Linked DNA regions of Styela clava. The protein of the gene in region 2 purifies or fractionates together with the protein of the main gene of each other region. This does not show direct contact. Links are inferred from orthologs where the notes say so. Each region holds a gene or a part of one and is shown on either strand. Other genes may lie near its edges.

Region 1 (7,912 bases), on a different chromosome or scaffold from region 2:
TAAAAAAATAATTAGTGAACGCAATAGGCAGTTCATTATTCTGATGCTGATGCATAAATTTTAGTACTTCAATTTTATAGATATCTGCCATTTTAATTATTTGCATTTTATGATAATGGGAGTCTAATTTTGATCGAGGTCCGGCATTAGTAAGTGCACGAATTGCCCTGTTTTGCATTATTTCAATGCGATGTAATAAAGTTTTGTTAGCTGATCCCCAAGCTACGATGCCATATTGAATATGGGACTGACACAAGGCGTAATAAACTAAGCGTAATGTTGACATTGAAGCATACCGTCTAAGTCTATAAAGCATCCCTATAGACTTGGATAATTTAACAACAATGTTGGATATTTGAATATCCCATTGCATTTTACTGTCAAGGTGGATGCCTAAATATTTGTAAGAATTGACATTCTCAAGAACAGTGCCCCCAATTTCAAGTTTTAAAGTAACCTTGGTTTTTCGTTTCATTGATGATATTAGCATGGTCTTTGATTTGTCAACATTAAGAGTTAGTTTGTTAAGTTTCATCCAATTAGCTACTTTATTTATTTCAGTGTTTACTCTCGATTGAAGAATATCAGAAGACTTGTCACTATCAAGAAGATTTGTGTCGTCAGCGAAGAGTTTGGAAAAAAGTGTGGTGCTTCGAGAAAGGTCATTGATGAAGATAAGAAACAAAGTCGGTCCTAAGCAAGATCCCTGTGGGACGCCGTGGGTCACAGGTAACGCCGGAGAACAATATTTACCCATTTGAACATATTGAGATCTATTCGTCAGGTAACTATCGAGGAGTTTATTTGCCACTCCTCGAATACCATAGTGCCATAGCTTGTGGATTAAAATTTTATGATTAACGGTATCAAAAGCTTTTTTGAGATCTAAGAATGTTGCGCTAACATATTCCTTCTTTTCCAGTTTATCATAGATATGGGATATTGTATCTAAAATTGCATGCGAAGTCGAATGTTTAATTTGAAAACCAAATTGAGATTTATTTATTACCTCATGCTTTATAAAGAAGTTCATTAGCCTTTTATGGATTAAACGCTCAAATATTTTATCAATAGAAGATAGAATGGATATAGGTCTATAGTTTGACAACTGTTTTTTATTGCCAGATTTAAAGATCGGAACCACTCTGGCTATCTTCAGTGAAGATGGGAATATACCAAATTGAAGGGAATTATTGAAAAACTCTGTTAGACATGGAGATATGATGTCCACAGCATACTTGAGGAAATGACAGGGAATGTTGTCTACCCCCACTGCCTTACCCGCCTTAAGACTCAAAATTTCAGTCGCCAATTCGATTACTGTAGCTGGACTCAGAAATATGGATTGATTTATTCGTTTGCCAAGATACATTTTAAAACCGACCATATCATTAGAGAATTTACCAGAGAGGCTGGACCCAACAGTTGAAAAGTACTTGTTGAATTCTTGTACTATGAAATGACTATCCCTAATGATGCAGCCGTTATCAAGATGAATTTCATCAACATTATGCCTCAATTTATTCTTTCTGGAGGTAATCTGATTAACGATTCGCCATGTAAACTTTGGGTTGCCTTTGTTTTGAGCGATCAGGTTTTGATAATACAATTGCTTTGCATTGTCAATTGTATGAGTCAGTAAGTTACGATACTTTTTAAAAAATGAGCATTGAGAACTATTGCCCTTCAGGTAGTGGGTTTTGAACATCTTACGCCTGTAGCGAATACTAATAAGTATTCCTTTGGAAATCCATGGCTTGGGTTTTATTTTTTTTTCACGACGCGACAACGGTCTAAATGGCGCATGGCGGTGGATTAGAGCAGCAAAAGAATTTGTGAATTCTTCAAATAATGTGTCAAAATTTTGAGAATTCAAGTCCAACGCAGCAAAGTGATTATTAATTAGGTCGTGTGTATCTGACCGAAATGCATCAATGGAAAATGCAGACATATCCCTTATCATGACAAGCTCATTGTTGGTTGATGGTTTGATGCCATTAACACAGCATATTAAAGGAAAGTGATCAGTGATGTTGGATAATATAACATAAGGATCTAATTTTAGGTGAGTCATGTTGGTCTATATATGATCTATGAGTGTCCTTGAGGTTCTGGTAACCCTTGTAGGCTTTGTAATAAGAGAAATAGTGTTGTGAGCAACAAGCATATTAATATAATTGGTGATTTGGGGACAAGGTCTTGTTGCAAGTAGATTTATGTTGAGATCTCCCACAATTATAAAATGTTTTTTTGTCAATTTGGTGAGGCAGTTTTCTAATATGTTTGTGAAAGCAGGAATATCGTTTCTTGGTTGTTTATATATAATGCCAATGGTCAACCTTTTGGATATGTTTTCCAAGTCTATATCGAGCCAAATATCCTCACAGTTAATATAATTTAAATGATATTCAGTAGACTTTGTAAATTTGATATCATTTCTGATGAAAGCACCCACTCCGCCTGCCTTGGAGGCAGACGGTGTGTGTACGAATCTATAACCGTCGATGCTTATATTATCAAAATTATTACTATTTAATTTGGTTTCGCTCACTGCCATTATATGGGGGGAGGGAGATAAATTAGACAATAACGTAGTTAGTTGATCAATATTTTTTCTAATTGACCGAATATTAGTGTGGATAATTGTCAAGCCCGAATTAGTTTGGATATCTTTCAGATCAGTTACTTCAATGTTGCTGCAATCACAACCACTATTTGAATTTAGGTATTTTAAACTATTAGAACCATTATCACTATAATCTAACAAATAATCACAATGATTCGGCATTTACGTATATGGAAATATAAGAAATGGAACCAGAATGAATGATTAATAAGAATATCAATTAATAAGAAATAACTATAATACAATGACCTACTTTATAGAGAGCAGGTCGTCTTCAGTGATGATAGGGATGGTAGCCGTATTAGAATTTTTTTTTATGAGAACTTTTACATTGTTGGTCCACAGGAATTTATAACCGCACTCTTGTTTCAGTTCCCTGGCTTTGTAGAACAAATCTTTGTTTGTGTCTGTGAGGTTTTCTACAACGAATACTTCGATGGTTCTGGGAAAGTTCGAAAATATTGTAGAGATGTCGAGAGATGTCAGTTTACGACGATTCATTAGTATTCGGTTTCTCGTTTTTCTGTTGACAAACTTGGCAATAATTGGAGATGGTCTTTTTTTATTGTTTTTCGACATTCTGTGGCAATTCGATACATCAATGGATTGCAAAGGAACTTCAATTTTCTTACAAATTTTAGAAATTAGGTTTTCACAGTCTTCCCCGTTAGTGTAGGGTATGTTATGAAATTCCAAATTGTCCAACCTGGAGCGACGCTCTTGATCTTGCTGCCTTTCTGTGAGTATGTCAACTTTCTCCTCTAGTTCTTCCACAAGTTGTTCCAGCTCCGCTACTCTTTTTTTAGTTTTCGTTGCTATCTTATTGAGCTCGTCTTGGTTCGATCTGAGCTCATCAAATTTTTTTGACACAAAATCCTGACTCTTTTTGATTTCGTGTATCTCGTTCTTGATCTCACGGAAAGATGATAATTCTTATTTGATCTCATTCATAGACTCCGTCAGTGATGTTATTGACTCCTCCAAATTCAAGGTATTGGTGGTGTCCTGGGTCACATTGAAGCTAGATTTATCGAGATGTTGCTCAATGATGGCAGGAATCTCAAGACGAAAGGTTTTCAAAACTGTACCTTCCAGTACAGATACCAGATTAGTGATGTCATCAACTTCAATTGTTGAAGTCATTTTAGCAGTTGAACGCATCTGTCGGTCGGTTGGACTTTTGCGCTTTGGTGGTACAGGAGGAACACTAGACTTGTTTGGCGTGTTCATCTCTTCGTTCACCCACTGCACAATTATTAATACTATTCACAAATTGTAGAGGTTACATCCATAAACCAGTTGCGTTATCTATATTATATTTCTATTTATTCAACTATCATCTTAATCAAAACAGCAATAATGTATCAAAACAGCAATAATGAATCAAAACAGCAATAATAGACGGCGAGAGAAAGAAAAGTTAAAACGAGAAGAAGAGGGTGATCGAAGGACAGAAAGAGAGAAAAAACGCAAGTTTGAGCTTGAAAAAATTGAGTTGGAGAACCAGCGTCAGCTTGATAAGCAAAAGGAAGACAATCGCCACAAAAAAGCAAAACTACAAATAGCAATGAAAATGCAGAGTGACACATGGCAAGCACACGTAAACCAGTGGTAGGTACTCCATAAATGTTGTGATTCTTCCTGTCACAAGTATTTCGATCCAAAAAATGAATCTTGAATATTAATAAAAACGTATTTATTTTGTGCCTGTCCCTAACTAAATGTTTGCATATATTTTAGCTTGGAGAGTGGACTCACAGCCAACGAAGACCTAGAAAAATCTAGTTATCTTCTTGTAGTTAGGAACGATTTCCCTGTGAGTGTTTTACAATACCCTAAATTAAGCACTATTTTATTTTATATATTAGGTGGGGCGGGGCCAGTACCCCCTCCTACCCCACCCCGCAAGAGGTGTCCCCCCTCTTTTACATTTCAAACTCTCACGACGCACTAACCCTCGAGCCCACCGGATTTTTCTTAAATTTACACTAGGTATCAAATCTCGCAAATTGGCTCATTCATGGCTAAAACCTGTTTCTTTCAAGATGCTCTGATCCTAAAACGTAGGTTAACCTAGAATAGGATAGGATTTACATATTCATCCTCCATGACAAGAAAGCCGATAAGACAACTTAATCATATGGCAAACCACGGTCTTTCGTCCGGTTACCAGTCCATGTAAGATATGGGATTAGTTAGTGTTAGCCAGTTAATTGTTTTCGGAAGCATGGACTTGATGGTGGAGGAATCCGTAACCAAAGCGTATATTTAATACGGCCGTAAGCCCGTAACCGACCCGCGGTTACCTTGCGGTGACGAGCGTATTCCCAACGCTTAGCACGATGCGCCTGGCCGAGTGACCTTTTTCTCCATGCGATACGATCTGGAAATGCTCAATTATGTTGAAGCAAAGAACGAAAGTCAAAAGTAAGTAAAACCTTGCGAATTTGTCGGCTCTAGTAGTCGGATCTGGAATATGTTTTGACTCCGTGTGGCAGTGCAATTCTTTGATCAAGTTTTCTCTGCTTTCAGCTGTGTTTCTTTGGCGCAAAAAGGCTTTGGAAAACATATAACGTTACATCTATCTCACAGACTGGGAACATCGGAATTGAACATTTGAACATGGCTGACACTCTGGAATGGATATTTCAGGAGCTATTAGTACAAAATGTTGTCTTATTTTTGGTCGGTGCAATATTATTTGGTGCGTCATTGTTTGTACAGAAATTCGGTCTTGTTTATCAATTTTTTCACAAGGTAAGTAATCAGTAGTTTATTTTCTCACCATAAATGAAATACAGAATGTAAAAAGAATCAAAAAAAAGTTGATGTAAGGCAAATATCACTATCAGAGAGGTTACGGTAGGTATAGGATACAAGAGACTTCAGGCAGTCAGGACTTAGAGGTGAGATTTGGCCCAAAAATTCCAGCCCGATCCAGGCCCGTGGGTATGGTATTAAACCAGACTAATAAACTGGATTTGCAGGCCCGAGCCCGGAGCAAACCCGAAATTTTATTCAGGAGTTCATTGAATTGTCATTGCAAGAGTTTAGTACCTACGGTACCTACTGCAGTAGTCTATGTCAGTACCGGTACGGTATGTGTCGTGTTGATGAGGCAACAGAATTCTGGGTCCAGGGGTCAGCTCGGGCTTCAGATCTTAGCTCTAACGAGACTAACTCCCAATCTTTCCTCACTGCCTTTGTGCTAGTGGATCCATATTCCTGTATTCATATAATGGAATAATGCTGTAGCAGGAATAAAATATTACACTATGCAATTCAAGAGTCTCTGCCGAACACTGACTTGGTAACACTAATGTATTGCTGTATCGCTCCATCTGACTAAAATCATTCCTCTGACAAGCAGTTTACAACAATGACAAGAACAGAACAATCATGCATAGTACAATAGTATGGTATTTTATTCCTGCTGCAGAATTATTATATGAGAAGTATTTTCAAATTGAAATAGATAGCATTATGAAAATATGGAGCTAGCTATTGCTATCTATATTTCGGAAGAATACATCCATCACAATTACGGCTCCTTTTTCAGAATTAAAAATCTAAGCCAAGTTCAGTGGTAACTGGGTTTTTACTCGATTTTATACCACTTAGTTGATTTCTGTTTTGTATCTATTCTGATTTGCGTTTGTTTTTGACGCTTGAAATTTGTCTCTAATACTGAATAATGAAGAACCACTGCTCTACAGTTTTCGCATCTTTTTTCTCCCACAATCAGTATGAAAATTGTGTCTAAATATAAAAATCTCTAATTACAACCACGGTTAAATTGTTATTCATGTTCTTTGTTCATTTTGCCTTTCAAAGTATTTCAATATGTTTACAGGTGGAAAAGGAATCCAAGCGGCACGGTGGGGAACTTGTAGCCCAGGTTTTGAAAGATCATGGAACGCAATTCCTTTTTACACTCGTGGGAGGTCACATCTCACCCATTCTAGTAGCTGCGGAGAAATTGGGAATTAGAGTCGTCGATACGAGACATGAAGTAACAACCGTGTTTGCAGCAGATGCTGTTGCCAGATTATCAGGTTCTGATTAAATTATAAGATAAGATTAAATTTTGTGATTGCATGATTGTGATTGAATTTTTAATATACCGGTAGTTCAAATGGTTGCAATTCCAAACCTTTTGCGTTGCAAGGAATATACCAGAGTAAAATTTATTATGCTCTTACACCTAGCTTTTGTGATGCGAACAATGTGATTGACAAAGCTGTCACTTGCTGAGCGGCGAGCAATTTAGGGAAAGTTAATGAAGAAAGACGCTAATGAATAAGTAAAAATGGTAGTTTTCTTCAGAAATTTATGCGTCTCGATTTATCATTTTTCCAAGGACCCCTTATAACGTCACAAGATTAATATCAAAAAGAAACTATTTTTTCGTGCCTACATTTCTGCAACTACTAGAAAGTTTATGTTGAATAAAGGTGCAGCTCACAGTTTCGCTCAGTTATTTGTATCTATCCCTCCTGTATCCAACCCCCCCCCCCCCCGGTCTAGAATTCTGCTTTTGTGAATAACTTCGAAAAATACCACTCCATTGCTACACTAAGTGGATTCATGGCTGTCGCCATCGTCTTTGCTATTTTTTAACTTTTAGCTAAAATTGCAAATGTAATTTAATTATGTTGTTATGTATTATCTTTTTCTTCAATTTATCAAGGCCGCATTGGTGTAGCTGCAGTAACTGCTGGACCGGGCCTCACTAACACTGTGACCGCTGTCAAGAATGCACAAATGGCTGAATCTCCGATTCTCCTTATTGGAGGTGCAGCACCTACATTGCTCAAAGGTAACTAGACTTATGATATTTCTCAATGTACAGGGTATCCATAATGAAGTCAGTAGACTACTCATTATATCTTTAATTCCCTTTTATAAAATTTTAAGATTTATGAACACAAATAATTTGCACATTCATTAATGGATTTTGTACTTATAATGAGGGGATGTATATTATGACTTGATTTAGAAAATGTTCGATTCAATTAAAAAAAATCTTCTTAGTTTCAATAATTTTGAATAATTTTGTTTTTAAACAGGCCGAGGAGCTCTTCAAGATATTGATCAAATGAGTTTGTTCAAACCACTTTGCAAGTTTTGTGCTCGAGTCACACGGATCCGAGATATCGTACCAACTGTGAGGCAGGCGATAGCTTGTGCTCAGTCTGGAACTCCTGGTATGTGTATATTGTTAATAATTAATTAATAAAGTAAAGTATTTTCATGAGAAATTAATAAGCAATGCCATCATCTATA
Region 2 (7,700 bases):
CCTGGTTTTACTTTGAAACGCTGAAAAAATTAATCATTTTCGGTAAACTCTATTCAGAAAATAAATAAACGGCATGTCTGCAGCTCGCGAAATTGCGGAAAGTACTTTTATTGCCATTAGACGTAACATTAGAGGCAAACATTACGTAATGAAAAGTAAACGTCATAGAATGGTAAAATGAATGAATTGATTCATTTACACAGCATTTAAACTAGGAAACAATAAAACAGTTATAATGAATGCAATATGTAAAATATTCAATCATATTTTAGGTAGGTTTAACACAATTCTGTTAGTTTTCGCGACGCATTCAGCAACTCCGCTACATTACACTGGTTTTCTCTATCAATTTACTGTTTCATTTTTTGGTGTTCCGCGAGGTGAGATCAAAATTGTAAGTGTTCCATGGCTGAAAAAGTTTGGGAAACGCTGACGTAGACAATTGTGTTCGCAACATCTTTCGCAGTGGTTTAATAAATATTTACGGAAAACACAATACGACTGGATAATACCACATTTCACAGTATCAATATACAACATCTATCATCAGATTTGATTGAAGCATTGGATGACTTGTCAAGTTATCGCGGGTTGAAGATCGCATTTGATGGCCGGAGTTATCAGCTGCTGCAATGAATGTTCTGTTGCCATTCGTTCGGAACTACTGGATTTTGAATTATTCGGAATTATGTGAAAAGACCTTTTCTGCGTTTTCATACATAAAAAACAAATACAGATCAAGGCTACAAGTAGAAGAAGATCTTCGAGTTGCTGTCTCCCAAATTAAACGTCGAATTTCTATGTTGTGTTCAAAACACAAAGCTAATAATTCGCGTTAGTCATAATAAACGCTATTATTCACGATTTTATGTGATAATTTTGTACAAGAAAATTGCTAGTGTCAATAATAGACTTAAAATCGATAACTATTTACATGTTTACCAAATGCTTGGGTCGCGAGAAATTATAAAAAAAAAAATGGGTCGCGCTGAAAAGTAGTTGCGGACTCCTGGACTACACCGCCATGCGATACGATGTTATAAAAAATCATCATCAAATATCCATTAAATACCATATTTTAAATTATAAAGATACTTTATAGACACCCTGTATACTAATTGAAGTCAATTGATGGGTATTTTTTTGATAAAAGTTTTAATTTTCCCCATGACATTTTCATTGAAGGCCTATATATATATGTTCTTGTTAATTTTTTTCAGATTCAATTTAACTTTGGTATAGCATGCTTCGTCTGTCGCTTCAGTAACGTTATCGGCTAATTTTTTTTTTTATATCTCATACAGCATCCTTCAATATATTTTGTGAATTTCAAACCGCCTCTAAATTTAGCAAATGTGTCTTTTATCCCACTTTTCACTTACAATTCTAGAAACAATGAGTAGCACAATCATTTTTAGATGCCATGTTGATATCACATAATAATAATATCAATTTATAAACGACCTTTTTGCATTAATGAAAATATGAACAGCAGTATTTAAAAAAGCTATACAATGATTAAAATTCAGTTTAGGGAATTAATGAAACGATGACCAACTTGACTAACAATAAGAATCGTAACCAAACAAATCTTCAATGGAATTCATTATGATCAATACCTCTTTCAGTGCGCGAGCGATCTTGATTAACAAGAAAGTAATGCTCAAATATATAGACACGAAACTTCCTTCGGTATCGGTACTGTGAACCGTTATAGCAAAGAGTTTGTTGAAAATATCGGTGGACGTGCGAGACACCAAAATTTTGTGTGAAATATTGGGGATCATAGGATTGGGAGGAAATTTTAAAAATGGAAGTAATACCTTCCCAGGAAATTTTTTCATCTTAAAGTAATGAGTTTTTTTAATCAAATGGTCGATTAGTTCCGGAGGGAAATATTTTCACTAGCAACTAAATAATCACCCAATAACAACATAAATGAGTTAACCATAACCATTAGGCAAAGCGATCATTTTCCTTCCCAATTACAGCAAAATCCACCAGTCCCATAATTACTTCAATAAAGCTGCATATGTGAGTAGGCTACAATCAATGACATGATTTTCCGATTTCACATGTGGTTTATTTCTTACTCAGTCAAAACATGTTAGTTGTTGATTGCAACCCAACCCCAACCAGAACTCCGAGGAATTGAATGACGTTGATACGCACAATTTTGTGGAGAAACGTACCGTACCGAGGGTACCGTGTCTTCACAAGTCCTGAACCGTGTGGCCTTCTCGACAGTCCTTTTCAGCGATAGGGAAAGTTCGGTTCTTTGTTTTTGAGGTAGGATAGGATAGGATTTACATATTTATCCCGGGGGAGAGGAAAGCCTAAGAGGGCGTATCCATATGGCGAAACACGGCCTCTCGTCCGGTTACCATTCCAAGTCGGGTATGGGATTAGTTTTACTGTATTGTTTGTTTTCGGAAGCATGGACTTGGTGGTGGAGGAAGCCGTAACCGACCAGCGGTTACGTGAACCACCCAACGACGGCGAGGAGTCCAGCAATCCTCTCGCACATAACCATCCCTGCATGGGATTCGAACCTGCGAACCCACGCAGAGTAATTAGAGGTGCGGTGGCGAGCGTATTCCTAACGCTTAGCCCGTTGAGCCACACCGCCGCGCCAGGTAATAGGTTTGGGTCTGGTATAGTTTAGTACCACATATACTTCTAGTTGGCCTGGCTCAACAATTTTTGTATATGTCAATCCTAACCCCCACCTGACTATGTCACCGAAAAATTACGTCATTTGGACGTCACAGTGGCGTAATAAAACCCACCGAAGTATGCGGATGGTCGTCCAAAACGCGCAGACGATCACCCGAAATCGAGCAAGCTATTTCTCTCGTTTTTTTGTCACAACGATCACCATAGGAGAGAGATCGTCGGCGTTAGCGAGTTTGTTATCGGCGGCGCGGATACCATTTCGGGCGATTGTAATTATACTTTGGCAAGCCATATGACGTGATGGTGACGTCGTAGTGACGTAATTTTTAGATGGCATAGTCAGGTGGGGGTTAGGAATAACATATGCAAAATTCGGTATGCTACACCCACTGGAGGTACCTACTTGTGGTACTAAACTATACTAGACCCATAAGTTTTACCAGTTTCCGGGTTCTTTGTAGGATGCGATTTCGGATCTCGCGTAGTTTCGTACCTAACGTACTTCTAGTGGGCGAAGCATAACAATTTTTTGATATGTCAATCCTAACCCCCATTTGATTACGCCATCCAAAAATTAAATCACTACGACATCACAATCACGTAGTTTCGTACCTAACATACTTCTAGTGCGCGTAGCATGACAATTTTTTCACGTATCAATCCTAACCCCCACCCGACTACATCATCCAAAAATGACGTCAACACGACGTCACAGTGACGTGATAGAGCCCTTCAAACTATACGAACTACCATCCAAGAGGCGCAAACGAGTGCCCGAAATCGAACAGTTATTTCTCTCGTTTTCTCGTCACAACGATTACAATAGGAGAGAGATCGATAACGTCAGTCAGTACTTTATCGTCGGCGCCAATGCCATTTCGGGCGATTGTACGTATATTTGGCAAGCTCTATGACGTGATTGTGATGTCGTAGTGACGTAATTTTTTGGTGGCGTAGTCAGATGGGGGTTATGGTTGACATATCAAAAAATGGTTATGCTACGCCCACTAGAAGTACGTTAGGTACGAAACTACACGAGACCCCCTGACTACACCATCCGAAATTTGGATGGAACGAATTTTGGGTTCTGGTACCGGTATAATTTAGTAAGAATTAGTAAATATATATATCTTTTTTCAATACAGTTTGGTAGGCTACCTAATACCTGAATACAGTACGGCAGGAGTCGGCAAACTACGGCCCGGAGCAATATAATCCAGCCCGCAGCGCTTCACTGAATTATATTAACAAAACAGCTGTATTGATGAATATATTCTTTATGTCAGTGACAGAATTTGTTTTGAAACACTGAATTATATTATAACCTAACAAGAATATAATTCACAATCACTCGTTTAATGAGCCTACAATTGATTATAATTAGACAAATGGCAACACAACGTAAAAAAATTAATGCTGATTGCTGAGTGCAAATGGTTTAATGACGCAGAAAATATTCAAATGATCATTCTTCACCCACTGCTTGTACTTTAACTGAGATTTGTGTGAAAAAATGAGATTCATTGGCCATTCCTTTGGTTTTTAACTTTCTAAAAATATGTGCGTCTCGCAACCTTTAATTTTGGCCCACGAACGACAATTGTTTGTCCGTATTGTACAATAATATATTTCTGTGGTTTGCAAGTTCTGAAGTTTGTGAGTGTTGATTTTATCGCCTTGATAGTTGAGTCCAATTAAATTTATATGCTTATTGAATTGTGGCATAGTTAGGATAGGATAGGATAGGATTTACATATTTATCCCGGGGGAGAGGAAAGCCGATAAGACAGCTTATCCATATGGCGAACCACGGCCTCTCGTCCGGTTACCATTCCATGTCGGGTATGGGATGAGTTAGTTATTTTATTTTTTCGGAAGCATGGACTTGAAGGTGGAGGAAGCCGTAACCGTTTACTGGTTCAACTACACAATTGTGACGTTTAGCTGTTCATTCCTATATCCAGGATTTTATGAATTTAATTGATGCAAATTTATTTTGATGATGTACTTTTCTTTTTGCCTTTGTTAGTTTTCTAGGTCACTATTAATATAGTTGTTTAATATATACAGATTTATAAAGTTTATAAAAAAAAAATACGAGAGTAATGGGAGAACCGCAGGCGGGTGAGCCAACATGGTGGAAAGCCCTAGAAAATCTGGAAATTGAACATGAAAAAATTGAAGATAATGAACTCATGTCAACTTGGAATGGTTCATCCCAAGGAGACGGTGTTCCCAAATATGGATGGAGAATCGCCCTCAGTCATAAATTTAGAGAAAAACGTACTCCATGGACTGTACCAAAAATACACCAGGTTCCAGCATTGGTGGGACTCTCTTACCGTTATATCAAATTTCATCGTAAATTAAAGCGTATTAACCGTCGTCCATGCATGGATTTCTTCAACCAACAACCACTGCGACAAATTTATGGTGTCCCTCTTGGAGGAATCGGGGGCGGGTCAATCAACCGTGGCTGGCAGGGTGAATTCTGTCGATGGCAGTTACGTCCGGGGGTTTATGAGTTTGTAACTACATTGGCAAATCAATTTATTGTTTGTATTCGTAAAAATGGAACCACTGTATATCAACAAGTTTTAAGTGTTCACAGTACCCCAGCGAAACATCTAAAAAGTTGGAAATGGGAGTTTCCTGGTTCCCAAGCTTTTTATCATGCTTTGTATCCGCGTGCGTGGACCGTATATGAAATTCCAGAACATAAAGTTGTATTAACCTGTAGACAAGTATCTCCTGTAATTCCCAATGAATATAAGGACTCGAGTATTCCTGCCGCTGTTTTTTCATGGAGTATTGAAAATAAATCTGAAAGTGATTTAGAAGTATCCATTGTTATGACAATGGAAAATGGTAATGGCACAAAAAAATCAAGACTACATCATTCTGGACATTTTAATGAAGAATTTGATGATGATAAAAAATGCAGTGGTGTAGTTATGCATAACTTTACATATGAGAAAATGCCGTACACAATGACAGTTGCGGCATCTGATAAGCCAGAAATGAAAGTTTCAAAATGCATTTCTTTTGACCCAACTTCAGATGGATCCACAATTTGGAATGAATTGCATGAACATGGCCACTTTGATTCTACAAATGACATAAGTGAAAATACTTCTCGTGGAGAATCTATTGCCTGTGCAGTTGCTGTTGAAACCACTGTAAAATCAAAAACTCTTCAAAAAAATGTTGATTTTGTTTTATCCTGGGATATGCCAATAGTATATTTTGGTTCAAAGGAAATTTCTCACCGCCGTCGATATACTCGTTTCTTTGGTGCATCTGGTAACGCTGGACCCAAAATTGCGTTGTATGCCCTTCAAAACTATCAAGATTGGGAAGAAAAAATACGATCATGGCAAGAACCAATTCTGTCAAATTCCCGCTTACCACTGTGGTACAAATCTGCCATATTCAACGAGTTGTATTACATCAGTGATGGAGGGACAATTTGGCTTGAAATAGATAAAACTGATACAGAATCAATTAGCATTTCAAATCATATAAATAAGCACAATGCATCAAAAGAAACAGATGTGGATCATCTCCAAAACAGTGAAATTTTAAAAGAATTTGGAAGATTTGCGTATCTTGAAGGCCAAGAATATAGGATGTTCAATACATATGACGTTCATTTTTATGCATCGATAGCTCTTGCTGCATTATGGCCCAAGCTTGAGCTAAGCTTACAGTATGATATTGCTACAAGTATTCTAAGGGCTGATGATACACGATTTCGTTTTATAATGGATGGTCATAGAAAACCTGTTAAAACGACAGGAGTGGTTCCACATGATGTTGGGGATCCTGAAGATGAACCTTGGACGAGAGTTAATGCGTATTTTGTTCACGATACAGCATCTTGGAAAGATTTAAATCCTAAGTTTGTTTTGCAAGTTTTTCGAGATTACCACATCACAAAAAATCGTAAATTTCTTGAGGACATGTGGCCAGTTTGTTTGACAGTTATGGAAATGAGCATGAAACATGATAAAGACGGAGATGGTCTTATTGAAAATGGTGGAACCGCAGATCAAACTTTTGATGGTTGGAGTGTCACTGGTCCAAGTGCGTATTGCGGTGGTTTATGGATTGCCGCATTGCGATGTACCATCGAGGCAGCAAATATCTTGGACCGACAAGAAGATAGTTTAAAATACAAGGAAATTTTAGAAAGAGCCACCAAGGCTTACGACAAAAAGTTATGGAATGGTGAATATTTTAATTATGATAGCAATAAACACAGCAATCATAGTGACAGCATTATGGCTGACCAATGTGCAGGTCAGTGGTATTTACTTGCTGCGGGAATAGCTGATGTCATACCAGGAGATAAAATTCTTAGCTGCTTGAGAAAAGTTTATAACTTTAATGTGGAATTGTTTGCTGATGGAAGACGGGGCGCAGTAAACGGAATGAGACCAAACGGGAAAGTTGATCAATCGAGCGTTCAGTCAGATGAAGTTTGGACTGGGGTAACATATGCTGTTGCGGCAACGATGCTTCATAAGGGAATGTTGAAAGAAGGTTTCAAAACGGCCCAAGGAATGTATAAAAGTGTTTGGGAAGAGACTGGTATGGCATTTCAAACACCAGAAGCGATTTTGAAACACAATCATTACCGATCTCTAGCGTACATGCGCCCATTAAGTATATGGGGCATGCAATATGCACTGGAAAACACAGACAATGATGACATTGCTTCAGAATAAGCTTTAATTATTTTGGCAAAGGTTTTTAAACTAAAAAAAATTTACTGTTATTTATAATGTCATTACTTTTTGTAGTATAACCTTTTCATTTGATTCTTCATTATTTGAAGGTCAGTTTCTTTGGTCAGTGATCAGCATTTTTTTCCTTCTTTCGCTTGTCCAATGACTATAATTATGGCATTGTTATTTCTACCTTTTTCCAATATGAAAGTAACACTTAGTGAATTACACATTCCAATGAATTATGAATGTCTTTTTCATGTGATAGTGAAGCATTTTTTGCAAATAATTTCG

The links.
Region 1: the proteins of non-lysosomal glucosylceramidase-like (region 2) and 2-hydroxyacyl-CoA lyase 2-like purify together in Homo sapiens (co-immunoprecipitation; 3 studies listed by BioGRID and IntAct, counting the BioPlex papers as one, with this or other methods). This does not show direct contact. The link is inferred for Styela clava from reciprocal best matches to the Homo sapiens genes GBA2 and HACL2.

The regions. Positions count from the first base shown.
Region 1 is NC_135258.1:4,954,006-4,961,917, reverse strand, and holds the start of 2-hydroxyacyl-CoA lyase 2-like, read left to right. Parts: upstream 1-4,907; 5' UTR 4,908-5,053; intron 5,054-5,158; 5' UTR 5,159-5,248; coding exon 5,249-5,383; intron 5,384-6,479; coding exon 6,480-6,681; intron 6,682-7,316; coding exon 7,317-7,445; intron 7,446-7,695; coding exon 7,696-7,833; intron 7,834-7,912. UniProt on the Homo sapiens protein: Endoplasmic reticulum 2-OH acyl-CoA lyase involved in the cleavage (C1 removal) reaction in the fatty acid alpha-oxydation in a thiamine pyrophosphate (TPP)-dependent manner. Involved in the phytosphingosine degradation pathway.
Region 2 is NC_135262.1:10,354,483-10,362,182, reverse strand, and holds the start of non-lysosomal glucosylceramidase-like, read left to right. Parts: upstream 1-4,689; 5' UTR 4,690-4,781; coding exon 4,782-7,406; 3' UTR 7,407-7,700. UniProt on the Homo sapiens protein: Non-lysosomal glucosylceramidase that catalyzes the hydrolysis of glucosylceramides/GlcCers (such as beta-D-glucosyl-(1<->1')-N-acylsphing-4-enine) to free glucose and ceramides (such as N-acylsphing-4-enine).